Pelodiscus sinensis: one gene and its partner. The protein of the gene in region 2 binds, or shares a complex with, the protein of the main gene of each other region. Links are inferred from orthologs where the notes say so. Each region holds a gene or a part of one and is shown on either strand. Other genes may lie near its edges.

What was found.
Region 1: the proteins of XKR8 (region 2) and BSG are in contact, whole or in part, in a cryo-EM structure (PDB 7DCE), measured with the Homo sapiens proteins. The link is inferred for Pelodiscus sinensis from reciprocal best matches to the Homo sapiens genes XKR8 and BSG. Residues at the interface, in NP_060523.2 of Homo sapiens: His232, Leu236, Val239, Leu242, Trp243, Leu246, Gln247, Arg280, Gly283, Arg284, Ile287, Phe291, Ser294, Asp295, Leu298, Ala301, Thr302; in NP_001719.2 of Homo sapiens: Trp326, Pro327, Gly330, Ile331, Glu334, Val335, Leu338, Val339, Ile341, Ile342, Phe343, Tyr345, Glu346, Lys350.

The regions. Positions count from the first base shown.
Region 1 is NC_134729.1:15,823,700-15,837,828, forward strand, and holds the start of BSG (basigin), read left to right. Parts: upstream 1-8,411; 5' UTR 8,412-8,496; coding exon 8,497-8,572; intron 8,573-9,689; exon of another isoform or gene 9,690-10,304; coding exon of another isoform or gene 10,305-10,323; intron 10,324-14,129. Other genes in the region: basigin-like, read left to right, coding at 10,305-10,323.
Region 2 is NC_134735.1:22,923,376-22,938,257, reverse strand, and holds XKR8 (XK-related protein 8), read right to left. Parts: upstream 7,407-14,882; 5' UTR 7,267-7,406; coding exon 6,962-7,266; intron 5,437-6,961; coding exon 5,243-5,436; intron 4,215-5,242; coding exon 3,511-4,214; 3' UTR 2,792-3,510; downstream 1-2,791. Other genes in the region: SMPDL3B (acid sphingomyelinase-like phosphodiesterase 3b), read right to left, coding at 9,869-10,249, 12,392-12,525, 13,131-13,311, 13,430-13,602, 14,402-14,545.

The DNA of each region.
Region 1 (14,129 bases), on a different chromosome or scaffold from region 2:
GGCAGTTTAGTCCCGTGTTTCACCCCTGACAGGAAGTTTTTCCTAAAGTCCAACCTCAGCCCCACTGGCTGCAGTTTCAGCCCCTTGCTTCTTGTCCTGCCCTCAGAGCCAAGGGGAACAATTTGTCTCCCTCCTCCCTGTGACACCCTTTTAGACACTTGAAAACCGCTCTCACGTCCCCTCTGTCTTCTCTCTTCTAAGCTACATAAGCCCAGTTCCTTCAGCCTTTCCTCCTAGCTCATGTTCTCTAGACCTTGCATCATCCTTGTTGCTCTTCTGCAGCCCTTCTCCAATTTCTCCACATCTTTCCTGAAATGTGGTGCCCAGACCTGGACACAAGGCTCCAATTGAGGCCTCATCAGCGCAGAGAAGAGTGGAAGAATGACTTCTGTCTCGTTCACAACGCTCCTGTTAATGCAACCACTGTCAATCACCGCTGGGTCGGCTCAGCTCGGCCTGCCCCTGTGTGTCGGCCATTGCTTCTACAATGACAGTGCCTAGGAGCCCTGGCTCATGGACCGTGGCCCCGCAGTGCGAGGGGTTGTACAAACAGACCCAGAAGACGATCCCTGCTCTTGTTTTTCAGAGATCCTTTACAAAAAAACCAGGTCCCGTTTGCTATGAAGGGGCACCGGACCCTACATTTCCTCTCACACGGGCAGGGGCCTTGATCTGGACTTTTCACTAGGAGCTGTACAGCTGGCTCCTGCATGCCACCCCAAAGGTGGCTGCATTTCAGCTGTGTGCTGCATGTGTATTGTCTGTGAAACTCTAGAATCCTTCCGGAGGGACGGATGGACGCTGTCCTGTCCTGTGAGCCTTTAGTTCGGTGAGAAATAGATAATCCAATTCCTAAACGCTTGAGGGGGAGGTTCAGAAAGTCATGCATCAAAACCACAAAATAGCAGCGAAGAAATGGGAAACTGAGGCACGTAGTTTGGTTGTAAAATGCTTGGAGATCTGCCCTTGAAATGCTCAAGAATTATCTTGTTTTTCTTTCCCTTGGTCATTCTTTCTTCGCCCACCTCATGAAAGGTGGATTGAGACTGGGATGCCTTCTCAGCTGGGATTTTTTCTTGCTTTATTTTTACAGACGTTATCTTATGAATTTTTAAAAACTTCTATCCAGAATCTTTGCAAATATCCAGGTTTCGAGACCTATTATTAACTTTTCTCTCTCTCCACATCTAGTTCAGCCACAGTTCTAGAGACATTGGGTCGCCCACTCCCAGGATTTTACCATGGGCCACACTAGGGCTACAGCTACACTGGAGCCTTCTTCTGGAAAAGCTTATGCAAATGAAGTGTGGCGTGGAATATTGCTGCGCTTCATTTGCATAATTCATTAGTAGACGCTTTGGCACAAAAAGGAGCTGTGTAGACCGCTTCTTTTTGCGCAAAAACCCCTTTTTGCACAAGAGCCATTCTTCCTCATTTTTTCACAGCTCTTTTTTGTGCAAAAGCAGTTGCTAATTAATTATGCAAATGAAGCGTGGTGATATTCCACGTCACGCTTCATTTGCATAAGCTTTTCTAGAAGAAGGCTACAGTGTAGCCGTAGCGTGTGTGTGTTGTGGGGTTTCCCTTAAAGCCTCAGCCCCTAGGAATCATGTGTCTCAGGCTAGGTCCACACCAGAGGGGTTTTTTTGGAAAAAGCTACACAATTGTGCTTGGCAATTTGCGAAGCTTTTTCCAGTTGCTTTTCCAGAAGAGGCTTTTCCGCCATTTGGCCCACTCTAGACAGGGCCAAATGGTGGAAAACCCTCCTCTTGCAGCGAAGCTCTTCTCTCTCATAGAACGAGGCACACAGGACTCCCCGAAAGAGCGTTTGCTCTTCTGCAAAAAAAAAGTGAAAGTGCAAACATGTTCCTTGGATGCGGTGGGTTTTCTGGGATTCCTCTGGTGCCCCTGCAGTGTAGACGTACTCTCCGTGAGAATCTTGGCCTTTCTTTTTTGAAAAGTAGGATTCTAACTGAGCTGGGCAGATTTTTCGATGGAACTCGTTTCTGTTGGCAAAAGCTGGTGTGAATGAATTCAAAATATGGTGGCATCATCTTGGGATTTTTTTTGGTTCTGAAAGTCTCAAAAGGAAATTATAAAAGCAATTCTTCTGATGAGGCTGAAATGTTTCATTTAGTCTTCTAATTTAAATATGGAAGTCAGACACATGTTTTGACCTCGGCTACATGTTCTGGAATGCTCTGTGTCATGACACATTCAGCACTTCTACTTAGACCCAAGGCAGGATGAAATGAAATTGGAAAATCTCAGAATTTCACATAGGATGCAATTTTTGGTTTGTTTAAAACCAGTTCCAGTTTCTAAGGCTCGTGGTAAGAGAGAAAGGCCTAAAACATAACCGTGAGGACACCCCAACACTGGAAGGCAAAGGAAAAGACCCCGGCTTCGATTGTTTTTTAAGATCTCATGATTTTATCGTGGCTTGACTCTCAACAGTTGAACTCAAGGGCCAACTGCTGTAGCATGTTCCTGTCAAACCCAGGAGTTGAGTCTCAGGAAATACAACCAGGGAGCAGACCGATGCTTCCCATATCCTGCCCCCGCCGGGGTCTGCTTCAGCGGAAAGTTAACGCCTCTCCTCAGATAATGCACCTGGCTGTGTGCTTGGTGGGATAACCACGCTGACAGGGGGGCTACATCCGTCCTGATCCTGCCCTCTGGCTGCAGAAACAACGTGAACTTCCCAGGGTGGTGGGAATGAGATCAATTGACCTAAACCCAAGGGATGGCTTCAGACTTTGAAGTCAACTTGCTCCTGCCTTTTACTTTGTTATGTGGCCAGTGCATTGTTCTCTTCGCTGCCTCTACTCTCCCCACCAGAGTGCTCCCTCCCCCCTCCCCGGTTTAAATATTCTCTCCTGGGCAGACAGATAATGCCAAGACCAGAGCAGCTCTGAGGACCAAGGAAAGGGTCGCTGAGGAAGTGGAGGAATGAGAATGATCTGAAAGACAAGCATCCTTCACTGCACTGAAAGCCCCTAGCTCTTCAATGAGCCCATCATCACACTGGTATAATTAGCTTATCTGAGGGCATGGCTACCTAAGGCAGCGTGTAGCAGGTTTAAAACTAATAAAAGAGAGTTCTTCTTTACACAGCGCATAGTCAACCTGTGGAACTCCTTGCTGGGGGAGGCTGTGAAGGCTGGAACTATAATAGAGTTTAAAGAGAAGCTAGATAAAAAGCTTTATGGAGGTTAGGTCCATAAAAGGCTATTAGCCAGGGGATAAAATGGTGTCCCTGGCCTCTGTTTGTCAGAGGCTGGAGAGGGATGGCAGGAGACAAATCGCTTGATCATTGTCTTCGGTCCACCCTCTCTGGGGCACCTGGTGCTGGCCACTGTTGGCAGACAGGCTACTGGGCTAGATGGACCTTTGGTCTGACCCAGTACGGCCGTTCTTATGTTCTCATGTGTAGCAACAAGGCCGTCTCGACACTGTCATGTTAAAATGAAGGTCACCATGTGGGAACACCTGGGCTGAGAAAGGGTAACCAGGTCACCAGTAAGATCACCCTACGCAGGGGATTCTTACGGGTTCCGGTTAACCGATACCTGGTGGGGGCTAGGAGCTGGGCCTGCTGCCGACAAGGGCTGCTCTGGTGGCGGCTGGGAGCCTGGAGCAGCCCTCCCCAGATCCTGCTTAGCTGGTTAACCAATTAAACATGAGGAGAGCGCTGCTCCCCGAGGCCCAGCAGGTTAGCTAAGAGCATTCCAGCTACTGGGCTGGATGGACCTTTGGGCTGGCCCCGTACGGCCGTTAACCCAACACTTGCCCGGTTAACTGATTAACTGGGACGTTACGTCCCTGGGGAATGCTGGTGCTGATCAAATACTTCCACCCCCTACAAGGGGGGGCTCGCTTTACCGGCATTCCCACGCGCATTCACCGCCCAGGGCTGCCTGTCAAGCAGCGGCGACTGGATCAAGTGCCAGTGTCGCGCTGCCCTTGCTTCTCGCGTCCCTCGCCTGCCAAGGAACTCGAATGTGCATGTTGCTTTTTATAGCCCACACTCCCTGGGGCAGAGTTCTCAAGCTGGGCTGGCTCTGCTCCCCGATGCCCAGCTGGTTAGCCGTGTGCGGTCAGGCGGTGCCCAAGTGCCTGAGGAAGAGTCGGGGCTGGATTCTCTAAGGACACGATCTAGTGTGGCTTCCAGGCGATCTTCTGATGCCAGTGGGGTGCCCCAGGGGAAAAGACCGGGCACGGAGCATGGCTGAGAAACGCGTTCAGGGCCGCGCCCATCTCTTAAAGCCTCTTCTTGAGGGGACGAGGCACACGCTGACCTAGGAGCCAGCCATAAAAACGAAAGTTTAACACGTGTCTGTAGGAGACACCGCTGGAGATGACATGCAAAGGAGTCGGACTTGTTGTTGACCTGGGATACCAGATCCCCAGGCATGAGACTTTTGGGGAGAGGCAGGATAGTGGGGGGGGGGGGGAATTAGCCGTTAATGGGAGGTTTTTCCTGCTGCAAACCAGACCTTGTATTCTAACAGCTTTGCCTTTAACATGGCATGACTGGTCCTGATCCCGCATGTGCCCCTCCCAACGACCACAAACCCTGCAGGTTCCAGACTTTGCTATACAAGAATCTCCTCTCTCCCTGCCAGGGGCGACCAGTGCCTGCAGGGGGGAAGGGGTGGAAGGAGGACCGCCCAAGGGGCCGGGACATGTGGGGGCACCCCATTTAGCCATTAAAATGAGGGTGGGGATATACGGGTGAAGTGCACCTCCGGCATGCTCCCTTGCTCCCTTCCCCCACCAAAACGCAGCCACTTCTGGGATCAAAGACAAGAGGGACTGCCCAGAGCTACTTACAGAGCAGGCCAGCTAGCAGAGGATAAAAAGCAAAGCGCCAGAGCAGCTGTTAGGAGCCAAGGTGCTGGCTCCAGAACTCTTGTTCCGCCTTTTTGGCTGATCTTGATCCAATTAATATTCAGCATCAGTATGGGGAGGACAGTGTTGCTGGCAGTGATGAATGGAAAAAAACAGGAGGAGGCAGAAACATTGTAATGGGCACGAGCTGGAATTTGGCTGGAATGCGAATCTGTAAGGAGGCCTAGGAAGCGTGTGGTGTCTGCAAACACAGACCCGGCCAAAGTCCAGTGACATGGAGCACCAGCCTCTATACCTAGCTTTACTTGGGTTTTGACCTGGGGAGGGGGCGGGGGTTGTTTTTAAGGCTATTACAGCAACCTCTCCCCACCCAGCCGTGGCTGGTGCAGACACTGTCACAGTGGAGGTTGTATCTGTCTGATCTCCTTCTCAACCGCCCACAGAATCCATGTGGCTTCCCATAGGATTTTTACAGTAACAGCTAAGCACTGCTGAGGCAACCCCCACTAGGAACCCATCCTGGCCTGCCACAAGCAACATCCTAGCTATGGATCACGTGGTCTTCCACCTCGAGCAACCAGCAATTAAAGTGGCAGTGCGTTCCAGACTTCTGTAGGCAGTAAAACAGAACAAACCAAGGCCATAGAGGGATCCCTCAGTAAATACATGGTGCACGGAGGGTGTGGGGAGGGAAAGAATAGGTCTTCTCCCAGGAGCTGGTGGCTGATCAGCAAGAGGAACAATTGCTGCTGCTGCTCTGGAGCATCTGAAATGCTTTGTCATTCAACTTAAAGACAGTTGGAATTTTTGGCACTGAGCCTACTGGAGAAGATGAGGTTAGTCTCACTCTGACAGACTCCATCCCTGGGCCACTCGCTGTGTTATCCATCTGCTTAGCTGCCCTGACTTGCTCAGCCCCATGCACGCTGGCAGCAGGAGCGGCTCGAGGAGAGCTGCCGGCATCTGGCGCCCTGGGCGGAATGCGCGATTGGCGCCCCCGCTTCCATAGCCCTCAATGGCGTGATGTCATCATTGGGCGCCGCGTAAAATGCAACTGCTGAGGTTGCTTACATCCACAGGCCGCCCCTGGCTGGCAGCAATTGACAGAATAAACGCTGGGGTGGAGGCTGATAGTCTGGCTTTAAAAATGGCAGGTGTAGTGGGGCTGGAAATCTTGAAACCACACACAAATCCTTCTCACACAAAACACAGGACTGTGTAGCACTTTACAGACTAACAAGATGGTTTAATAGGTGATGAGCTTTCGTGGGCCAGACCCACTTCCTCAGATCAAATAGTGGAAGAAAATAGTCACAGCCATATATACCAAAGGAGACAATTAAAAAAATGAACACCTATGAAAAGGACAAATCACATTTCAGAACAGAAGGAGGATGGAGGGGGGAGGGAAGGGAGGGAGGTAAATGTCTGTGAGCTAATGGTATTAGAGGTGATAATTGGGGAAGCTATCTTTGTAATGGGTAAGATAATTAGCATCTTTATTCCTTCTATGTGTCTTTTAATTCAAAGCTGGTTTTCTGGGTTGGAACAAAGGGCGAGTACCCGGCTTCAACAGGCCTTGTTACACAGAAAGCTGATGGTGCTTTTGCTTTCCTCAAGTTTACTGCCTTTCTGAGGTGTGTGATTACTAAAATAAACACTCTCTAACATCCCAGATGGAAAAGCAATGCAGGAGTGCCTTTGTCAGGGCGTTCCTGGAGAAAGATGGCAATCTTGCTCCTTCATGTATTGCTGGTGTCACTTTCAGACCCTGGGGGTAGAGTGTTTCCAAACCAAAGCAGAGCCTCTCTTGAAGGGATTCTTCATTCCTATTATTAAAACAGACAAGGGAAGGTACAAAAATGAAATGATCAGAGTTGAGAACAGCTCCTGGATTTTAAGCCCCCTTGCTGTATATGCCTGATGAATGGATCACTGCCCAAGAATCCATCCAATAAGCAAGTCTGGAGCTAAGGGCTGTACTGTGTACTTTATTGCCAGGGCCAGCCCACAACATTTTGGCACCTGAGGCAGGGAGCTCAAATGACGCCCCCAGGCCCCCTTGCTTGGGCCAAAACTTTGAAAGGTCTCAATTCTGCCTCCTTCCTGTTCTACTCCTCTCATGGAACTGCTCTGCTACCTACCCCAATAAAGGAGAACTAACAACTTAAAATGCCTTGTTCAAAAAGTGTGAACTAGTGGTGTCCCTCCCCACCCCCAGTCTGACACCTGAGGCTGCTGCTTCGGGTGTTGCCTCATGGTAAGGCCAGCACTGTTTATTGCAGCAGTGAAGTGTAGGAAGTATTGTGTATAGTGAGCTGGAGGAGGGACAGCAGGACTCCTGCAGTTTTCTTAATCTGCACCCAGCTCTGCTGATGATTTGCTGTGCGACCTCAGGCAATGTACTGACTACTCTGTGCCTCAGTTCCCCTTTCTATAACACAGGGACATTGTGCCTCAAAAGCATCACAGAAGATTTGGGATGCCTTCTTCATTCAATGTCGGCAAAGTGGCATGAGACTGCCAGTGCGAAGGGAACCAGTGATCTGCTACACTGAGTGCCTGAGGAGGTCAAGCTATAGGCTCCCCATTGCCAAGGCACCAAATGTATTTCCACGCCACCCCTGCCCTCAGCTTCACGCCCCCTTGCTAGCTGCTGCCTGAAAGGGGAAGCACAGAGCTGCCCCTTTGGCAGGGAACTTCTCCCAGGGGTTCGGAGGAATGGCTCCACTAGTCCCAGAGGGGCTGGGTGTCCTACAGCAGAAACTGACCAGGAAGGCCAGTCTCTGCTCTCCCCCCACATGTTCTGTCTGGCTCATCCGCAGCAGGGGATGGAGGCCGTGCTGCGTGGAGTCCTGAGTCAGCCTCGTTAGGGGCCTTGCTGTGACTTGAGCTGCCTCTAAGTGATTTGGGGCAGGGGCAGACAGGCCCAGACATGGGTGTCTGCTCTTTCCCTGCCCCCCCCAAAATCCTTGTTCCCTCTGCCCTTCCCCCCACCTGCCTCAACCCCCTCCCTCCTATACCCTTCCCCCCCCACCCTTCCCCCCCTTGGTACTCCTCCCTTCCTGCCCCCCCTTGGTAGCCCTCCCCCCACTGCCCTTCCCCCCACCTGCCTCAACCCCCTCCCTCCTATACCCTTCCCCCCCACCCTTCCCCCCCTTGGTACTCCTCCCTTCCTGCCCCCCCTTGGTAGCCCTCCCCCCACTGCCCTTCCCCCCACCAGCCTCAACCCTCTCCCTCTCCCCTTCCCCCCTTGGTACCCCTCCTATACCCTCCCCCCACGCCCTGCCTCCTCATTTGCATAGTCCCCCTCTCTCGTGCGCACACGCGCACGTGACTTTCCTCGCTCAGCTCGGCCCCGACCTGCGCCCCGAGGACACGACCCTGCGGGTCACATGTCCCCTCCCGGATTCCGTCCTTCCCCGCCGTCGAAGGTCAGTGGGCGGGGCGCTGCCTCGATCTGGCCCGGCGAGCTCCGGTCGCCAGGAGGGGCGGGGCGCTTTGTGGGCCCCGCCCAGTCCGCGGCGCTCTGATTGGCCGCCGTGGGGCGCGCAAGGGCGGGGCGGGGCCGGGCGCGAGGTGACTTGGCTCGGCGGCGGCGCGCGCCGGCTCTTGGCGGGTTAGCGGCAGCGAGCGGCGACCATGGGGGCGCGCGGGGCCGGGGCGCTGGTGCTGCTGGGCGCGCTGCTGGGCGCCGTGACGGGCGCCTCCGCCGCAGGTAGGGCCGGGACCCGGGGCGCTGCAGCGGGCTGGGCCCTCTCGGGGCGGGGGGGGGGGCCGGGCCTGTGGGGGGGGCCCTCTCGGGGCGGGGGGGGGGGCCGGGCCTGTGGGGGGGGCCCTCTCGGGGCGGGGGGGGGGGCCGGGCCTGTGGGGGGGGCCCTCTCGGGGCGGGGGGGGGGGCCGGGCCTGTGGGGGGGCCCTCTCGGGGCGGGGGGGGGGGCCGGGCCTGTGGGGGGGCCCTCTCGGGGCGGGGGGGGGGCCGGGCCTGTGGGGGGGGCCCTCTCGGGGCGGGGGGGGGGCCGGGCCTGTGGGGGGGGCCCTCTCGGGGCGGGGGGGGGGGCCGGGCCTGTGGGGGGGGCCCTCTCGGGGCGGGGGGGGGCCGGGCCTGTGGGGGGGCCCTCTCGGGACGGGGGGGGGGCCGGGCCTGTGGGGGGGGCCCTCTCGGGACGGGGGGGGGCCGGGCCTGTGGGGGGGGGCCCTCTCGGGACGGGGGGGGCCTCTCGGGACGGGGGGGGGCCGGGCCTGTGGGGGGGGGCCCTCTCGGGACGGGGGGGGCCTCTCGGGACGGGGGGGGGGCCGGGCCTGTGGGGGGGGGGGCCGGGCCTGTGGGGGCCCTCTCTCGGGACGGGGGGGGGGCCGGGCCTGTGGGGGGGGGGCCGGGCCTGTGGGGGCCCTCTCTCGGGACGGAGGGGGGGCCGGGCCTGTGGGGGGGGGGCCGGGCCTGTGGGGGCCCTCTCTCGGGACGGAGGGGGGGCCGGGCCTGTGGGGGGGGGGCCGGGCCTGTGGGGGCCCTCTCTCGGGACGGAGGGGGGGCCGGGCCTGTGGGGGGGGGGCGGGCCTGTGGGGGCTCTCTCTCGGGACGGAGGGGGGGCCGGGCCTGTGGGGGCCCTCTCTCGGGACGGAGGGGGGGCCGGGCCTGTGGGGGGGGGCCGGGCCTGTGGGGGCCCCCTCTCGGGACGGAGGTGGGGCCGGGCCTGTGGGGGGGGGGCCCCTCTCGGGACGGGGGGGGGCCGGGCCTGTGGGGGGGGGGGCCCCTCTCGGGACAGGGGGGGATCTTCCTGTGGGGCGTCCCATGGGGTGGGCTCATGGGGGACCCTGCAGCGGGAGGGGGGAGAGTCTGAGGCCCAGCAGGGTTGGGGGGGCCCAGGGCTCTGCCGGGGACCCCCTGGTGCGGGGGGCCTGGGGCTGCTCTGGGGGCCGCAGGCTTCAGCGACTCCTCTCCTTGGTAGGGTGCGGTGGGAGGTGGGGGGGTGTCTGGGGCAGGGCCGGTGGGAACAGAGGGAGCCCTCCTGGGGCATGGCCCATGCAGTCCCTGGGTGAGGGACCTGGAGGAGCGGAATGGGGGAGGTGCAGCTGGGTGTTGCATGTGTCCAGGGGGCACCGATGTATGTGGGACTGTTCCTTACCTCCACCCCAGGGGGTGGGGTGTGTCCAAGCACAGGGAGATCTGGGGTGGGTATCCTCTTTCCCTGAGAGCGTGTGCCACCATTTCCCAGGATAAGAGGGTGATGGTGGGATTAAGAATGTGGAGGAGACTGGCTCTGGGCTGAAGGAGTGTGGGGAGGCAGAGGTGCATAATTCCTCCAGGGTGAGCTCTCCATCTGCAGACTGTCCCCACAGTAAGCTGTGAAGGAAATCCTAGATGGGCTGGGTAGTTATGTTCCGCTCACTCCAGACATGCTATAAGCCATTTCTCAGCCTCCCCCTGGGGACCATGAGTCTGCTTGCAGATGGAAACTCCATTAAAAGGTTCGTCTCTAATTAGCATTTTCTGTTTTTAATGTGAAGCTGGTTTGACACTCACATTTCTGTGTGTATGTTCATGTGTGTGTGTGTGTGTGTATAAAGCAATCAATAAAGAATGAAAACTAAGGTGGCTCTTACCAATCTAGTTATCAGAGCATGAGTTCATCATCTCACAAGGTCTGTCAGTACTAACTAATTTGCAGGCTTCAAAAAATGTGCATATAGGGCTTCAGTTGGTAATCTGCTAATGGAGGAACAGTGCTGCCCTATGTATTTCTTAGGTGTTCGTAATGTACCAGTAGTACCTCGAAACTCCTGTGTGGTGGCCATTTCGAAGATGTGCAACAGCATGGTCTTTGGGCATGGACAGAAATATGACTGCAAATGAACCAGGATTTGGCATTCCCTGAAGCTTTGTGACATTTCAGTTTCCCCACCTTCTGTGCTGTTCTCAAAGAAGCCTGCTGGATTTATTTACACAGGGCTATGGGTGTGCCTTAGGCCATAGGGAATCTGAGAAAACAAATAAGACCCAGGACTCTAATTCAATCCTAATACTTGCTCAGAGCAGTGGGATGTCCTCTGCAGTTATTGGGTCTTGCCCTATTTCGAGTTGTGTAGCGGTGGGTGGGATCTTTGTGGTTTTTCTGAGTCATATTTGGTACCTCATGAAAACTCAGAGGAGGCAAGTACACGAGGGAGAGAAATGCATGGATAGTAATAAAATGGCTCTTGCCTAGGAGCAAACTGCATCTTGTTTATACAGCAGGATTAAAGACAGAAAATGGCATTTGTTTGTCCCCCACAAGTCTTTCCTATCCAGAGGACTGTGACACACTATTCAACAAATTAAATTGGAACTTGTATTCCTCCCTTCCCTTGCTGTATGCATCTGTAGTGAGCTTGCATTCTTCTAGAAAAGCCTGACACTAACCCTCCATTTTAATACTGTGCACTGCTTCTCAAAATTAAGCTAGTCTGTCGTCCAAGTGCAGTATGTCACGGCTAATGTTTGTGCTGTATGTAAAAGCCTCACTTCCCATGTGAGGCTTCAGAAATCGGACTTGAGACACAATCCCCCCCCTTCCAAACAAAGCAGTAGGTTTTGGCTAGTGTATAGCCTCTCTCCTGCAGATGAATTTGTGCTTTGAAACACATGAAAAACAATGGCCTGGCAAGCCACAGGGCTATCTAAGCAACTTGTGGGAACATTCCCAGTTGGCCCCCTGTAGTCACACGTCTGTCCTTTGGTCAGTTTACATCTGGCTTTTGATGCCAATGTTGTTCTATGATGTAGTTTGTCAGGCATTGGTCTTACTGTAAATTTGTTAGCCTACTATTAAGCTTTGTCTGGGCAGCTGTTTTTGTTTTGTTTTTGCTTAAACAGAGGGGTCTCTGTACATGCCACTTTCCTTCCTTCCTTTGTCAAAGCTGCTTGCTGAAGATAACATCTTTACATCAGGAAGGCATTGAGGGGGACTCCTTAATAAACCATTCAGTTCTGCAGTGCCCCCTTAGCTATGGTGGGTTTCTGCAATGATGTGGATTTTCCTGAGCTTTGTGTTTTCAACTCCTTTCCCAAGGAATGAAATTGCAGTGTCTCATGTGTTAGGGTGCTGGCGCTAGGCAAAGCCCTGGAAAAAATCATGTTGGGTAGTTCTGGCCATCGTTTGGGCAGCTCAGTAGCTTGTTGCTCTGAGAACTGTGTGGTATGTCAGTATAGTTATATCCTGGCTTCTTTTATTAGGACTTCAAAGGTTACAGAGTGACTCTGGTTTGAAACAAAACCTTTAAATGGATCTCAGCAGCCTTCCTCTTATGGCTTGATTCCGTTAATGGGACTGAGATGAAAAATCCTTAATGTTAAAGCAGCTAATATAGAAATGCCTTACATGCTGGTTTATACTGATGAGTGCGTAGGTAAGAGAAGTGACTTGAAATCCTTGGGTCTAACATTGATTCTCTCAAAAATGGTCAAAAATGATCTTGATTTCATTGAGGACATGGATTTAGCTTCTCTTACAAATTCCAGTAGTACATCTTGGCAAATGGTTACAAGCTATTTTCTTCTTCTCCCTATTCAGTTCCTTTTTTGATTCTGTATGAATAGCTCTTTCCCCCTTACCTTATTGAATACAACTAAGCTTTAAACATTTTGCAAGTGTGTTAACTTTTTTAAAAAAGTGTTGGATACTGTACTGATGACAATATCTGGCTTTTCCAACCAGCCTTTTTCCCCCATCTTTTCCCTCCTTTTTTGCTGTGATAAACCCACATATAGACAAATAAAGGGTGTATCAAATACACCAAGCAAGGCTTTGTCTACACCAGAGGTCTCTAACCTTTTTAAGCACAAGATCACTTTTTGAATTTGTCAGTCCAGGATCTACCTCAAACCCAAATACCCCTGTTCCCGCCACTTCTCCGAGGTCCCACCTTCCTCACACTGTCCCCCATCTTCAGAGTGACATCAGTGCCCCCCTACCTCTCTCCCACCCTGCACAGCATGCAGGAGGCTCCCAGGGGGCAGCTCTGAGATTCTGGGCAGGAGCAGCAGGGAGAGGCAGTTGAAGTGCTAGCACTTGATAGCCTTCAGAGCCAAACCTGTCAGAATCTCTTGTCAGAGGCTCCAAGGTCTGGTTGGTGACCACTGGTCTACACCAGTGGTCCCCAACCTTTTGGGGCTGCCGGGCGCCTGGGGGCGGGGCTGCACACGCACCCGGGGGCAGGGCCACCCATAGGCTGCGTGCCCAGTGCCGGTGCCACCCATGCGCTGCATTCCCGGGGCCGGTGCTGCACGCCCAGGAGCCGGCATCACCCATGCGTTGTGCGCCTGGGGCTGGCACTGCTCTTGTGCTGTGTGCCCGGGGCGGGGACGCCCATACACCGTGTGCTCGGGGTCAGCACAGCCCATGCACTGCGCACCCAGGGGCGGGGCTGGCCCCGATCACTCGGCGGGCGCACAGAAATGGCCCGGCGGGCGCCATGGCACCTGCGGGCACTGTTGGGGACCACTGGTCTACACTGTACCCTACAGCTTTTAGCGACATTGCCCTGTTGTCACAGCCATGTTGCTAAAAGTGGGGCAGTGTAGTCTAGCTTCCGCATGAGCGATGTTTGCATTGACAGTTGATCCCTGCAAATCTTTGTCTTTGGGGTGGGGGTGAGGAAGGGTTAGCATTTCTGAATGACAAAAGTTTTGTTGCTGATTGCCATTGTAAACACAGCCTAAAGAAAATGAGGGTGGAAGGAGAAGCTGATGTGGTTGAGATGGTGCTTGGTCCTGCCATGAATGCAGGGAACTGGACTTGATGACTGTCCTAAAGGGTCCCTCCAGTTCTGTGTTTTTTCCTCTCTAATCTCTTCATCATGGGTAACATGGTCTTAAAACAGATTTAGATAAATGAGTTTTTTGTCTGTTATATGAAGTCGCCATTAAATTTGCAGTGCCAAGAAATAATTTTTTGGTTATTCTTATAAGAGGGAACAATTGGTGGTCTCCTAAAATCTGGGCCATGCTAATCCCTCACAAGTATCCTGTGAGCACGTTTGGAACCTGCTTTTTTGCCAGATTGATGGGGAAGACTGAGCAATTCTGACTCCCTGAAGTTCTCTTACCTAGTTACTCATTGATTCTGCCTGACTTTATATATGTAAAACCTCCTTCTAGGCTTTGAGGTATGGAGACTGTATCCAGAGCCTCCACCAGTAGCTGGATTGTCTGAAACTTCACACATCACTTGAACTGTGGAACAAGCATCAGCCCTATAAGCAGAGAGATCTTCTGTACTGAACAGTCAATATACTGC
Region 2 (14,882 bases):
ACCACTTGCCCTGCAGCCTGTATTGCCTCACGATACTTTGCTGCTGGAGCTCCCACCGTGGGCTCCTCACACAGCAGGCACGTGCCACCGTGGTGCAGCAACTGAAAGCCCAGCAGCCTCTCAGCATCACACCAGTCACACTCTGCAGCCCACCATTACTCCTAATGTGAACAGACTGGCTGCCTTTTCCAGGAGGTTCCAGTAGTATTGCTGCCCAAGTTGCTTTTAACTTTTCACCCACAAAGGGGGAGAGAATGGAGGGTGCTTTTGCCCCTCACTTTTAGAACTGCAGTGATCCTGGGATGGCCCCCATCATAACGGGCTTCCCAGCTGAGCCCAGGGAGATGTGCAGTGGGGGGAGGAAGGGGGTTTCCACTCCCCTTCCTTATCAAAGAATACCCACTTCATAGAAGACGATCAGCTTTGATTAGATCTAGTCGGGGCCTCGGCGTGGCCGTTGTCCCAGCTGTGTCTGGTAACTACACTTCAGTCACGATTTACTTTCCATGTAACGTTCTATCTTACTAGTGACCAGCATATTCGTCAGTTTCCACTGATGCTGCACAAAGTGTATTTTGTACAAAGATGATTCTAGTCCATGTGTCTAGTCTAGTCCCTCACAAACACACCGACTCCTCGTCCTGCCAATACAGCATTTCCAACACACAGCACCACACCTAGCTGCTCCTGCCATGACGTGGTTATCCAATGAATCCCTCAGTCATACCAACCATAATGCATGCCAGGGCGGGAGGGGAACCATTCACGCGGGACCTTTGCTGGTGATGTTTTAAAGGAAGTTGCTAACTGATCCCGGGAACCAGAGTTGGCTGAGATGCCTTTCGCAGGAGTAGTCTCGTCTGCCAGCACAGAGAATATTTTCTTCATTTGGACCAATTAATTCAAAGTTGAAAAATTCATTCGGCTTAAGAAAACTTGTCTTTCTCTTCCAGTTTGATTCAAAATGAGGAGGGAGGAAGAGATTTTAGTAGGAATTTAAGTTCCAGTCACTGCCACTGTAGGCATAGTTGAAAATTCTCTTAGGACTGACCTGCATTGTTTTAATTTAGGACCCTATGGGACAAAAACATTAGCACAATCCCCTCTCTTCAGCATGGCAGCTCGCTGGGTCTCAGGGTGATGAAGGTGCAGAGTAGGGATGTTAAATATCGGTTAATTGAATAGTTGATTAACCTCATGAATTCTTATTGGTTAGTCAACTGTTCTCTAGGCCCCGGGCCGTCCCTGTCTGGGGGAAGGGTCTGAGCTCCCGGACCCGGCACGAGCCAGAACTGAGCCGGGCTGCTGGCCCATCTGGCTCCTAATACACTTTGAAGAGCCGCAGTGGGGATAGGTCCAGGACCCAGTGCAAGCTGGGACTGAGCTGGGCTGCTCAAAAATGTGCCCGCAAGGGAGCCGGGGAGGAGGATGCATGTAGCCTGTAGCATCACCCTGTAAGTGTTTGCACATCAGTTAATCGACTCCACTATTCCGTGCCTAGTGCGGGGTCCTGAAAGCGGGGGGGGGGGGGGGGGGTAGCAGCCATGACTGTGACGCTTACACCTGCAGCCTCTGTCTTTTCCTCCCCAAGAGCCTCTCCTTGAGGGTGCACGCAGGGAATGGCGGGCGGGACGGCCCCACCCTCTCTCTTCTGGGCACCAGCCAGGCCTACTCTTCTACACACCAGTGTTGGTGCATTAACTTCTGGTAGGGTTGCCAGATGGTTTCCCAAAAAATACTAATCCCCCCCCCCCCCCCCGGCTAAAACAGGCTAGGGGAAAAATCTGAACTCATGTAATGCCCTGATCAGTGAATCCCTCCCTTTAAGAAATCAGTTCTAACGATGAACTATTTTGATAAAGACATTTCTATAAAAACTTAAGGTAACTTTGTTTAATAAAAATAAATTCTAGTGTCCAATTCCAGTTACCACGCTCAGGCAGCTTCACACAAATGAGCAAAAAAGTGACTTATGGAATAATAGCGAGTCGCCATTTCCTGACATACTGGCTCAAGCCTGCTACCTCTGAGCAGAGGAGGGGTGGCCCTGGCTGCAGCAGGCTCCTCGCTCCTTGGCATTTGCAATGTGGCCGGAGGGGGGCTCTGGACGTTCACTCGGGGAGGGCTGGTCTCACAGGCAGCCAGGGCCGATTGGCTCGTGGCAGATCAGACTCAGTGGGGAAGGGCGTGAGAAGCCAGTTGAGACAGGATTTTGGAGCATCTTGGAAACCGAACCAACTGGACTAAAGCCCGGTGCAGCTCCTGGCCCTAGGCCGGGCCTGAGCACAGCCAGGCTCTAGTCCGGGGGGGAGGGTGGGGACATCAATTAGTGGAGCTTTGTTCGAAAAAGGCAAAGGGTTGGTGAGCGGCGCGTTCCCTCCCCCACCCCGAATTCTCCCCATTTCCCTCCCTTCCCCCACCCCCTGAATTCTTGCCATTCCCCTCCCCCACCCCCTGAATTCTCCCCGGTCCCCTCCCCGACCCCGAATTCTCCCCGGTCCCCTCCCTTCCCCCACCCCCTGAATTCTCCCCGGTCCCCTCCCCGACCCTGAATTCTCCCCATTTCCCTCCCCTCCCCCACCCCCTGAATTCTTGCCATTCCCCTACCCCACCCCCTGAATTCTCCCCAGTCCCCTCCCTTCCCCCACCCCCTGAATTCTTGCCATTCCCCTCCCCCACCCCCTGAATTCTCCCCGGTCCCCTCCCCGACCCCGAATTCTCCCCATTTCCCTCCCTTCCCCCACCCCCTGAATTCTTGCCATTCCCCTCCCCCACCCCCTGAATTCTCCTCTCCCCTCCCCCACTCCAATTCTCACCTGCTTACCCATCTGTCCCCTGGGGGAAGTGCTGAACTAGAAGCCGGGTCTCAGACACAAACCCGTTTTACGTTATTTACCACCATTTTTATCCCTTTCGACCAATAGTGAACTGACCCTTCCCAGCGGCCCCTGCGGTGCCATGGCCATCCCCTACCACCAGGGAAACGCCGAATGTAGCAACAAAACCCGAGTGGTCTGAGAAATCACATGCAAATGGCAACGCTGCAGGGGCTGTGCACCAGGGCCGGGAGGTTCCCACTTCATGCCGCTGGAGCAGCGCAGGCTGGGCCTGGCAGGGAGATGGGGCAGGGCCTGGGCCCTGCAGACCTGAAGTCGGAGGAGCAAGGAAGGAGTTAGCTGCAGTGCAGCGGATCCAGGGCAGGGGCCCGCTCAGATCCAGCTCTCATGACACTCCCTGCAGTGAGCGCAGCCTGAAATAGGACTCTCAGCTCCCCGTGCTGGGTGCCACCTGTAGGACCCCACATGCCAGTGCTCCCGGCCTGCCCCCTCCACTCTCCGCCCTGGCCCCGCTGCCTGTTCCAGGGCTGCGGTGCTCGGACGCAGGGCAGGCACTGAGCTGGCTGGGCCAGACTGGAACGGGGTCCCCGGCTCAGAGCCCGGAGCTGAGAATCCCTCCAAGACGCCTGTTGGCCTGGACGCCGTTCTCCCAGCTTCGCCCAGCCAGCACAGATCACGAGAAGTGGTTCTGGCACAGCTGGTGCATCCGTCTGTTCACAAGGGCCGGCGCCGCGCCAGCTCGGAAACCCACGGCATCGTCGGCTAGCTCTTCTCGCTGGTCCCCTCCTTCCCCTTCAGTACCATCCACCACGTCCTGGCTAGGCCGGGCCCGCAGCGTGGGGTGGAACCATCCGTAGTAGGTGAGTCTCAGTAGTAGCCCCAGCACAAAGCAGGCCAGGGCAGCAGGCAGCATGGGGAGCAGGTAGGCGCGCTCAGGCAAGAGGGCGTCATACCAGAGCCAGGAGCCAGCCAGCAGCACGCTGTCCACCAGGAGGAAGCTGTAATAGATGGCGCTGCGGTGCCGCGTCTGCCCCTCGGCCACGTTGAACCAGCAGAAATACAGAATCACGGCCACGGTGGCCCTGTAGAGCCACTCCCGCCTGGGGCACTCCATGAAGTCCGTGCCCTGCAGCCAGACCCAGAGCAGAAAGGCTGCCCAGACCCCCAGGAAGTGCAGGCCCACGTAGCGCGGGAAGAGCGTGGCGAAGAGCGCGAGCACCAGGATGCGGGGGCAGAGCAGCAGGAAGTTCCACAGGAAGTAGAGCGCGGAGGAGCGCTGGTCCAGCTCCGACTTGTCCAACAGGAAGGAGCGGAGGCACTGGTGATAATCCAGCAGCGCCCACGCCACGCACAGGGAGGCTGTGCAAATCCCAAGCCCTGCGGGGGACAGTGGGGAGAGGTGCTGGCTTCACTCCCGCGGCATCAGGGCCTGGCGCAAGGAACCCAGCCCCCAGCTCCCAAGGGCCCTGGCCAGCCGCCCAGCCAGAGGGTCTGTCTCCGCCGTTCCTGTTCGCCTGCCCCACTTGTGCTGGAGGAAGCCCCAGAGACGCGTAGGCAGTGCCCAGCCCTGAGCCGCGCCCCACCCCACAGGCAGCGCCAGAGAACGGCAGGGCCTGGGTGCCAAGAGCCACAGGCAGGGCGGGCACCGTGGAGCTGGGAGGGTGAACAGCCATCTCCTTAGGGCCTGGGCCACGGTGACAAGCCTCCAAGGCCTCGGCCAGTGGTGCCCTGCTGCTTCCTGGGCCCAGCTCCTCCCGTCCGCCCGGACCCAAACGCCCAGGGAACCCTGGCCTGCCGGAGCCAGTGGAACAGGAGCTGGGGGCTCGGGGTTGGCCCAGATTTATGGCCCCCTGGGAAGCTCCAAGAGCCAATCCCTCTTGGAGGGCACTGCCCCACAGGTGCCCAGATGCAGGGCGGTGCCACCCCCATACCCGCCTGCGCGCACCGCTCCATGGGCCCAACACCCCCTTCCTCGGGGCAGGGCCCTGCTTCCCCCACCCTCCAGCCCTGGGTCTGGGTGATTTTCCCTGCCCCCCACATCCCAGCCCTGCCCCTCTTCTCAAAGGTGCTGGGAAGCAGCCCAGAGGGCACCTCAGTACCTGCAACCAGGCTTTCCTCAGCAAGACCCTCCTTGCAGCACACCCTGCAGGGGCTGGCCCGGGTGCAGAGCCAACGTGAGCGTGAGGCAGCCAGTCCCTCGAGCCTCACCACCCAGCTCTGAGCTAAGGCTCAGGGCTGGGGCCACTAGCACAGAGCTGAGGGCAGGCTGCAGGCCCCGCTGCCACCGCCGGGCTCCAGAACTAGGCCCGGCTCTTGTATCCTTCAGAACCCGGAGCTGCAGGAGCTCCAGGGATTGTTCCCTCATCCTGCTGCCCTGCCCCCGCCGCCGGGGCTGCGCCACTCACCCTGGAACGGCTCCAGCTTGTTGGTGTGCAGAACGATGGCCACAGCGAGCGTGAGCTGGGGCGCGCTCTCCAGGAAGGTCTCGAAGAGGCGCAGCATGCTGATGTCGTGGGACAGGAAGACAGCGTAGTGTCGCTCCTTCGGGGCAGCCTCCTGCCGGCACACGCGCCAGCCCACTCTCAACACGTGGAGACACCTGCGCAGACATCGCAGCCTTGCCGTGAGGAGGCTCCGCGCCAGGCCACACAGACACAGTGCCGTCCGTCCATCTGTCACGGGGGCGGGGGGATTCCAGAGCCAGCCTGCCCCCCACAGCCTGCTTGGTCTAGTCTCTCAGGTCCAGGGAGATCCCATTTACCTGCCTGTCCCTGGCAGCTCCCCACATGACCAGCCAGCTCTCCTGACACGGGCCCTACCGAGCGCCTGCTAATGCCAGGGCTCACCACAGGGTGAGATCTCTCTCTTGTCAAATCACTTCTCCCCCGCCCAGGTTTGGGGTATAATCCATCAGGAGGGAGAAATCCAGGGGTCATTTCCCCCCCAGTTTCAACGAAAACGACTTTTGCTCTGGATTTCACGTTCCCTACGTGTTTGAGACCCTGGCGCTAGAGCACAGGGCACCTCAAATCCGCTGGCCCTGGCCCAGAACCAAGAGCGAAAGTGGCATGTTACTTTCTAGTCCCAGCTGAGCAAAGTGCACCCCAGGCAATCGGCTGACATGGCGACCAGCAAAGGCGATTAACCAACTCAGTTCCAATGCAGAAGTGACGTCTGCTTTTCCCACCCAGGTGGCAGCCTGGCCCTGGGCCCCTCAGCCATGTGCGTCCGAGCCCTGGGCAGAGAATGAACAAAACGCTCCCCAAGGTGCTGCCAGACACGGTGCTGGGGAGGGACAGGGCCACGTGAGCTCAGTGCAGCACTGACCTGCCTGCAGCCTCCGGCCACAGCACTGAGTCTACGGGGGCAGCCACAGGCCTAGGCAAAAGAATCACAGAATCCTAGAGCACCAGGGCTGGAAGAGACCTCAAGAGGCAGCGAGTCCCGTCCCTGCCCTCGCGGCACCATGGAGACCAACCCTGCCAGGCGTCCAACCTGCTCTTCAATATCCCCAGAGAGGGAGATCCCACAGGCAACGTCTTCCCGTGTTTATCTCCCGACAGGCAGGAAGGGGTCCTCCGAGTCCCGTCTACACTAGCACTCCCAGCACGACTACTCCCAGCAGGGCAAAGCCAGCCGGCCAAGGGGGTGTATTTTAGGGGAAATAGCTGGAATGGATAAGAGGGGTAGGGCAGCTTCGGGCTCCTCAGCCCCAGCAAACAGCCCGGTTAGCTGAATCACCACTGGACCACACCAGAGCAGCCAGCCCTGGGCTCACGGGAGCTGAGCGTGGCTCACGTCGGCCTAGTCCCAGCAGACAGGTTTGCTGACAGCACAGCTACCCAGCAATGGCTCCTGACGCTTGCACCAGTCCCCCTGCCTGGCTAACGCTCCCGTGTGCAGCCATGTCTGCGCTGGGTGATTTGCTGGACCCGCCCTGGACTGACACTGCTGCAGCAGCGCACGCGAGGGCCCAGCTACCCGAGTGCTGCATCGGCGCAGGGGCAGCTGCAGCACCTCGTGAGGATGCTCCCACGGGGGCAGATTCCACCCCCGGAGGCACCGGCTCTGTCACCAGCAGAACTCGCCTGGGCTGCAAGAGCTCAGCAGAGGGGCCCCCTTACCTGTAGAGGTAGCCCAGCTGGAGGAGGTGCAGCACGTCCCGGCAGCGGTCACTGGGCAGGTCCTGCTCCCCGGGGTCTGTGTGGAACCAGGCCCAGCTGAAGAACTGCACGGCCAGGGAGGAGAGGCCCAGCAGCAGCAGCACCAGGCCCCCCCACAGGCAGTGCCCAGCCTGCAGGTAGCTGGAGGCCACCCACAGATCAGCCACCAAGTCTGCCAGGAAGGCAGCCGTGCCCAGCAGGGCGAAGAGCAGGTCCAGGTAGCGGTACCGGGGGGGGGAGTAAGCGCCATGGCCCGAGCCTGCCATGGCACAAAGGGACCCTGATGGCACCGCGCCACCCACCCTCTGCCTGCTGCACCAGCCCCCGGGGACCCCTCGCCAGAGACCTCCCCGCCCCTTCGCCCCCTGCTCCCTCCTGCCCCTTTACCCCCCGCTCCCTCCTGCCCCTTTACCCCACACTCCCCCCGCTCCCTCCTGCCCCCCTTCGCCCTCCTGCCCCTTTACCCCCCGCTCCCTCCTGCCCCTTTACCCCACACTCCCCCAGCTCCCTCCTGCCCCCCTTCGCCCTCCTGCCCCTTTACCCCGCACTCCCCCCGCTCCCTCCTGCCCCCCTTCGCCCTCCTGCCCCTTTACCCCCCGCTCCCTCCTGCCCCTTTACCCCACACTCCCCCAGCTCCCTCCTGCCCCCCTTCGCCCTCCTGCCCCTTTACCCCGCACTCCCCCAGCTCCCTCCTGCCCCCCTTCGCCCTCCTGCCCCTTTACCCCGCACTCCCCCCGCTCCCTCCTGCCCCCCTTCGCCCTCCTGCCCCTCTACCCCCCCGCACTTCTCCCGCTTCCTCCTGCGCCCCCGCCCCCGCCCCCCCGGGGCCTCTCCGCGATCCTTGCCCCGAGCGCTCCCGGCCCCGCAGAACCCCCCAGCGAACTTCGCCGGCCGCGGGCGGTTCCGGGATGGGCGCGGCGAGCCCCGGGGCAGGGCCCCGCCCCGCTGGGCTTCCCCCGGCCCCGCCCCCGCCCCCGCTGGGATCCCGGGCCCGGGGCGTGACGTGGTGGCGGCGCCCGGCGGGCCGGTTTGGCGCGGGCGGGAACGAGCCCCACGTGGGGCTGCAAGAGCAGGAACCGGGCCCGGGCGCCCCGCGGGGACGGGCTGGAGCGAGGCTGCCCGGCCCCTCCCCGAGCCTGGCACCGCCGGGGCCGCTGCTCCTGGGGGGCCCGGGCGCTCAGCCAGCGGGGCTCCCCGGGGCCCTTTCTGCGGACCCTGAGCCGAGGAGCCCCACGGTCAGTTCGCAGAGGGAGGCCAAGAGACTTTGCGGGGCCTCGGGGCAAGGGCTGGGACTGGGGCCTCGGCTTCCCCAGCCCTTCCGGGCCCTGGCATGGGCGGCTGAAGGCCCAGAGCCTTCGGGTTGAGCGTTTTATTCTTCTAGTTCTTGTTCTAGTGACAGTAGCGCAGCAATAAGAGGCCCGTGTATGGCCACGTCCGTGTCATCAAGTCCTTTCAGTTGACAGTTTAAGTCCCGGCTTGACAAGCCCTGGCCGGGCTGATTTAGTCGGGATTGGTCCTGCCTAGAGCAGGGGGCTGGACTTGACCTTCCGAGGTCTCTTCCCGCTCTATGAAGGTCTATTTTCTTTACTCTGAAGTAGAAAACCAGTTCTGGGTATTGTGGCTGCGTTAATAAGATTAGAGGAATTCTGCGAATGTTGAAGGCCAAGCCTGAATGGTTTAATTTACAACGCTTTTGCTTTGCCATGCAGATCTGTAACCCCGGAGAGTTGTGTATGTAGGAGTGTGAATGTGTTAAGATAAGATGCAAAGTTCTACGGCTTTAGAACCAGGTGGTCAAAGGAGGGGGTTGAGCGAGTGCGGGCAAAGGACCGAAGATGAGCCAACCTGACTGCAGAGGAGTCATCTATGACCATCAATGCGTACCCCCTACTCACAAGAAGATTGGATAATTAGCAGATTGACGAGCCTTAAAGTGGAGCAAGCACCCCGAAAGGACGATTGGTTACAGGATGAACCTTCGCGAGATGTTTTGGGAACACTCACATCAAAAAGATAACATTCCAGTCCCAAGCTGACAGCAGGATCCATGGATTTTAGCAGAGAAGAAGGAATATATAAAGCAGGGTGCTTTGCTATGGAACTTTGGGTTTCGTCTTGCCAAGACACCATCCCGAGAGGAGCATCGGATGGCGACCGACAAAAGGCCCTGCTCCCCCTGTGTTTGATCTAGCTGGCCACTAGATTGACACAGACTCTGGACTGGTAACTATGATACCATTTGGCAGAATGATGTATGCATGATGTTTTGTGAGCGTGTGTGTGATTGAAAAGCGTACGCAACTGTTGTATTTTCAATAAATGCGGCGTCCTGCCTTCCCCCATAAAAGATCTCGTGTGCTTCATTTAAGCATAACGAGCTCTAGCTGCTGCCCCCCCGCCCAGCCATTGGCAGGCTAACAGTGCCCAGCTGTCCTGGCTTATGCCGCACCACCATGCCAGCTGCCCCCGGCGCCATCCCCTGCTCATTCAGCCCCTGTGGTGCATTGGCACTAGGAAAAAAGGCAAGTTCTTATTCAAGTTACCATGCGTGGGCTAGAAAACCAAGTGCCAAGGTGGGTGCAGTTCCACATTTGTTAGCAGGCTGAGATAACGACTCTGCAACGCAAGAAGAACCCCCCCCCCCCCATGTCACGTGGGGTGGACACAAATTCCCACCCGCCTTCTTAGTTAGAAGACACGAGGCAAGACAGCCAATCCTCTTTATTGGAAAGAGACAAAGCCGAGCCATAAAACCCCTGCCATAAAAACACGTCACCTTCTTCCGGAGCAAATTCCAGCCCCGGAGGCATTGGCTGGTGTTGACTCAGGTGCAGGATGCTCGGTTTGCACGGGACGAACCTGTCAGGGTCACCAGAGAGGCCCCTGGGAAGGGAGAAGGCTGAGCAGCACACCGAGGAAGAAAACGGGGGTTGCTGGCAGAGCAGATACAGCAGGGAAGCTTCCGGCTTTAGCACATTCCTCATATTGAGTAAAATCCACTTCCCGGATAGCACAGAGATGGTCGGTGCGGCAGCTCCCGTCGCACTCGCTGAGGTCGTACTGCACGGAGTTGAAGCGATAGTACTGCTGCAGGTACTGCTTGTCCTGTGACAGCTTCTCCAGCACCATGTGCATGGAGCGGGCTGACCCGTCGGGCACCTGGAAGGCCTCAGTCAGCCGATACTCCTTCTCCCAGCTGGGGCCTGCCAGGTTAGCATGAGTGAGGTTCACGTAATAAGTCACCATGTCCTGCGCAAGAGAGAGAAGACCAAAGGGGGTTAAGAGGGCAAACAAGCACAGGAACTGCCCTGGAAATGACCCCCCGGCCAGGGCTGGGTCTCAGCAGCTTCCTGACACTGGTGCTGAGGTGGGGCACTTCCACCAGTCCTACCCCGACAGGCAGAAGCAGCCGCTGCCCAGGTGCCTCACTGGCCCTGACCCGCTCTGCTGGAGCAGTTCTGGCTGGCTGGGGGCTCCACTTGGAGGCTTGCCCATCACGCGGGGGACTTTATCCCTCAGCTAGCAGGCCATGTGCACAGGGCTGTTACTTGGGCCCCGGTTCAATGGCTCTTGCAGGGGCAGCTCTAAAGGAGCTTGGCCAGGCTGCTTTGCGCCTCTCTGCAGGGTGGCGAAGGAACCGAGCACTTGAGCTGCCACGGAGCTCTGGGCTGTGGGGAGGGCTCAGCTTTATGTAAGCAAGAGCCCTGAGGGATGACTGCTCCGTGCCCAGCAGTCACCATGTGTTCCCAGATCAAAGCCACAGCAGAGCTGCACACATCCTGTTAAAACCCTGCTGCTCTGCGCCACTCCCCTCTCCTCCTCCTGCTCCCAGCCATCCAGAGTGTCCTCGGGGCAGAGAGATGTTGAATGGAACAAACAGGAGCTTACAATGATCCTCGGGTCCTCGTTACTGCTGCCGCGCACACGTTTGGCCTTTTCAGGTGGCAGAGAGACTGCGGCAGAGCCCCGTTATAACCCTGCTATTCCCTGTTCCCATCAGGCGCAGGGCCTGTACACATGACAATCCCTCGCTCCTGCAGGCCGGGTCTCGCTAACAGACAGCCCCCCATACCAGACATACCACCAATCACACCTCTCGCAACAGAAACCTCGCCCCACGAAAACCCCATCGCCAGCTCTGGTGACACCGTCACAGGGCCTGACCACATCAGCTCATTCACCTGCACATCTACGACTGTGCCATCATGCACCAGCAGTGCCCCTCTGCCATTCACGTTGGACAGACCTGCCTGTCTCCGCTCAACAGAGTGAATGGACAATGTGGGGAGCACGTTAACCTGCCTGGCCACACCATTCCTGACGTGCAAAACAACTGCACACCAGACGCAGAGAGACACGGCTGAGCTGCAATTCAAGGCCCTTGTGATGCCGTCCAAAGCAGTTTAAACAGAGGCATGGAATGGCTCTCATCACACTAGGCAGTTTCCCCTGCAGGTCCTCTCTCCGTCTCCTCACTGTTGGGCTCCGTCTATACTGGCTTATTGGAGGCAGAACGGCTCTTGTGCAAGAGGGGGGTTTGCGCAGGAAGGAGCAGTGTAGACTGCTCCTTGCACAAAATGGCAGCTCATTAAGTATGCAAATGATTCATCGTTGTGCCTCATTTGCATCTGTTCTTGCGCAAGACTGGCCAGTGTAGATGTAGCCTTTGAGATGAGCCACCTCCCCTCTCATTCAGCTAGCACTGCGGTCCCGCTCCCAGCTCTGGTCCCTGCTTCTCCTCCCCAAGCGTCTGAGGAAGGGGTTTATATTAAGGATGTTAACTAACAAGTAATTTACTAGTCGATAGGCACTTCCGCATTCCTCCTCTGAAATGTACAAGAGCACCCGAGGCAGCATTTCAAAGGGGCAGCGCCCGCTCTTCCCCGTTTGCTGCCTCTATCTGACAGGCAGCAAGAGGGGGGGGAATCAACTAGCCCTTAACATCCTAGTGTGTATCGCATGAGAGCTTCTGCCCTAACCCGTCTGTTAGTCTTTCAAGCGCCCCAGCCGCCTGCCTGTCAGCACAGGTCCTGTTCGGAACATGCCACGTTCTGCACCAGAGCAAGAATCTCGCCTGGGGGCTCCTGTCAGGGCTTTCTTTCCTGAACGGAAGGGCTGGAAGGCCCATTGCTTGGGCTCGTTATACAAGCCAGGGAAAGGCCTGGAGAACAGACCAAGGGGCGCAATCCTGCCCTGTCCTGGGGGCTCCGACTCCAGCAGCCTCTTGACACCCACATGGCCCTGAATTTTCTGCCCTCCGCCCTGCACGTGCACAGTGGCTCTGGAGTACTTTGCCTGTCTCTCCCCGGAGCTGTCGGTTAGTTATTGGAGCAACGCCGGCTGCAGCTGCTGTGCCCCAAGGGACAGACCATGCCGTGGGGGGGGGCTCACCTTCACTTGCAGGGAGCCTCGGTCGTAGTCAAAGACCCGGATGCCAGGGTTGTTGGCGCCATTGTGCACGCCAGGCAGCGTGGTCTTCCAGGGGGTCACGCCTGGCGCTAGAAACATGGCACTGATGGGGGAACCTGCATGGGAAGGCAAATGGAGCCTGCCTGAGTCACAGCCTGGCCCAATCCAACTACAAGCCTTGTGCTTGGCAGGCAGCCTGTGACGCTGCCTAAGCCACTTGGCTTGCAACACGTCAGTCGCCCAACGACAGCCACCGGCACGTGGGCATCAGTCACCTTATGACAGCCACCAGCGCACAGGCACAGCAACACCATCCTGGCAGACACCAGGGTGGGATTGGGACCTCCCACCTAAAAGCACAACTCTGCAGCAAGAAAACAGGCTGCAACAGCCGCATGTGCCCCGTGGCTCCCACTCCGAGCGCTGCATGCTCTGTGCTGCTATCCCCCAGGGCCTCCGTAGGTGGGGCCAGATGCCCGGATGACGGGCACCAGCAGCCGTGGGGCAGTGTACAGTGCTGGGAGGCAGGAGGATTTGCCAGTCACACAGGCCTGCTAGGGGCTTGCCACCTCCTGGTGCCCATGGCTTTCCGCCAAGGGCCCCGATGTAGTGTTGGCTAGACCAGATGGGGCCAATCCACCCCATGGCATTTCAGGACATGTGATGCAGGACCAATGGGATGCCCTGCAGCCAGGGCTCAGCCCACGCTGTGGCACGGTACCGCCATGGCTGTAAAAGAGCCGAAAGCTGTCAGTGTGATGGTGCCCAAAGAACTGGGCAGCTATTGCTCCGTGGTGCCGCTGCACGATCTCGACATAGCGCCTGTTAAAGTGCTCCCGGAACCAGGCTTTGTGCCGCTTCTTCTCGAAGAAGCCGGGCGGGACGTGCCCCACGATGTAGACCTGCCGCAGAAAGGAGCCGGGCTGTCAGGCGGCCTGCAGAGGCTGCGCTGCAGGCTTTGCACAGGGAGGAGCAGCTCAGCGGCAGAAGCTGCTTCCAGGAGGAAGGAAACCGTTTTACCATTTCTCCTGCCTTCGCTGCGGAGGTCAGCACGTCCTCCAGCCACTGGAACTGCCCGCCGGGGTCCTCCACACCCGCCGTCTGACTGTTGCTCTCATAGTACAGGTTGGTGTTGAGGACAATCATTTGTCCCTTGGTATTGGGACCGCGCAGCTTCTCACTGTAGAAAGCACCTGCAAACCCAGCCAGCAGGAGAGAGGCCTGAAGGGACAACACCTCTCCCACCCCCTCTGTTACCGCCACTGGCTCAGCTGCCCAGGGATGCTGGCCTGGGCAAGGTGCCAGCAGCTGCCAGCACGTCGCCCACTCAGAGGCTTCCGAGAGCCCTGCCTGCCTCAGCATGCCAGAGCTGCTCCCAGCCCTGCGGCCGCAGCGTGGGCAGGGCGCTTGTTGGCTAAGCAGCCCAAGGGGCCCAGCCTCTGCCCCGTGCCTGTCTGGGAGTCTGACCCAGGCGAGGGCTATGCTGGGAAGGGCTGGCGACAGAGCACGCCCGTGTAGACAAGGCCCAACCCTCCCGGGCTATGTGAGGGCAGGCCGCCTGCCTGGGCTGCCCTGGAGGGCAGACGAGATCCACTCAATGGTCCCTCCTGGAATCTCGGACCCAGGGTAGCCATGTTGGACCAGGGCTAGGGAGGCCCTGAGGAGCAACGGTCTGTGCAAATCAGGCCTGGAGCTGGGCCTTGAGTCCCACAGCCTCCTAGTCGTTCCAGGCCAGGCCCGATGGTTGCGCGAAGGGACACCGTCGGGGCACCCTTCTACGCAGCTGAGAAAGCAGGCGAGCTGGAGGGCCAGGACACGCTGTTCCTGGGCTCCTGTGCAGCTGCCTGTGGGCTGGTGAGAGGAGCTGGGTTGGCAGCCCATCGGGAGGGCCCTTCCTCTCCCTCAGATGTGCCGCAAACTGCCCCTCCGTAGAGGGGACCGTGTCCGACCCGTCCCACAGCCGGGGCTGGCCAGGGAGGGAGCCGCACATGCCTGCTCTGAAGGTTGGGATGGAGGCATTGCTGAGCCAGGAGCGCCACAGCTCGGCTGTTGCGTTGTAGATCCGGTGCGGCGTTGGGGGGAGCTGGTTCTTGGGGTGGAAGTCGTGGTTGCCTATGGCAGGGTAGACGGCAGTGTCTGGAGCAGAACAAGAGGACACGTGAAGGCTGGTTTGGTGCCTGGAGCCAAGGGAAAGGACAGAGACTCTGGGCAGGACAAGAGGACATGGGCCTTCCCGTGCAGGGGCGACTGGCTGCTTCTCAGCCAACGTGCTGGTTCTGGCCAGTGGTTAGGAATAAACCACCAAGAACTACGGACAGACCCCTTGAGCCCAGAGCTGGGCTTGGGGCAAAGTCCCCTCTCGTGGCTGTGGTGAAACTGGGCAGAAACCCCACCCCAGGCAAAGCGTCACCAAGTCCCACTGAAGGGCTAGTTGGGGGCTTTCAGTGGGGACCAGGGAGGAATTGGGTAGATC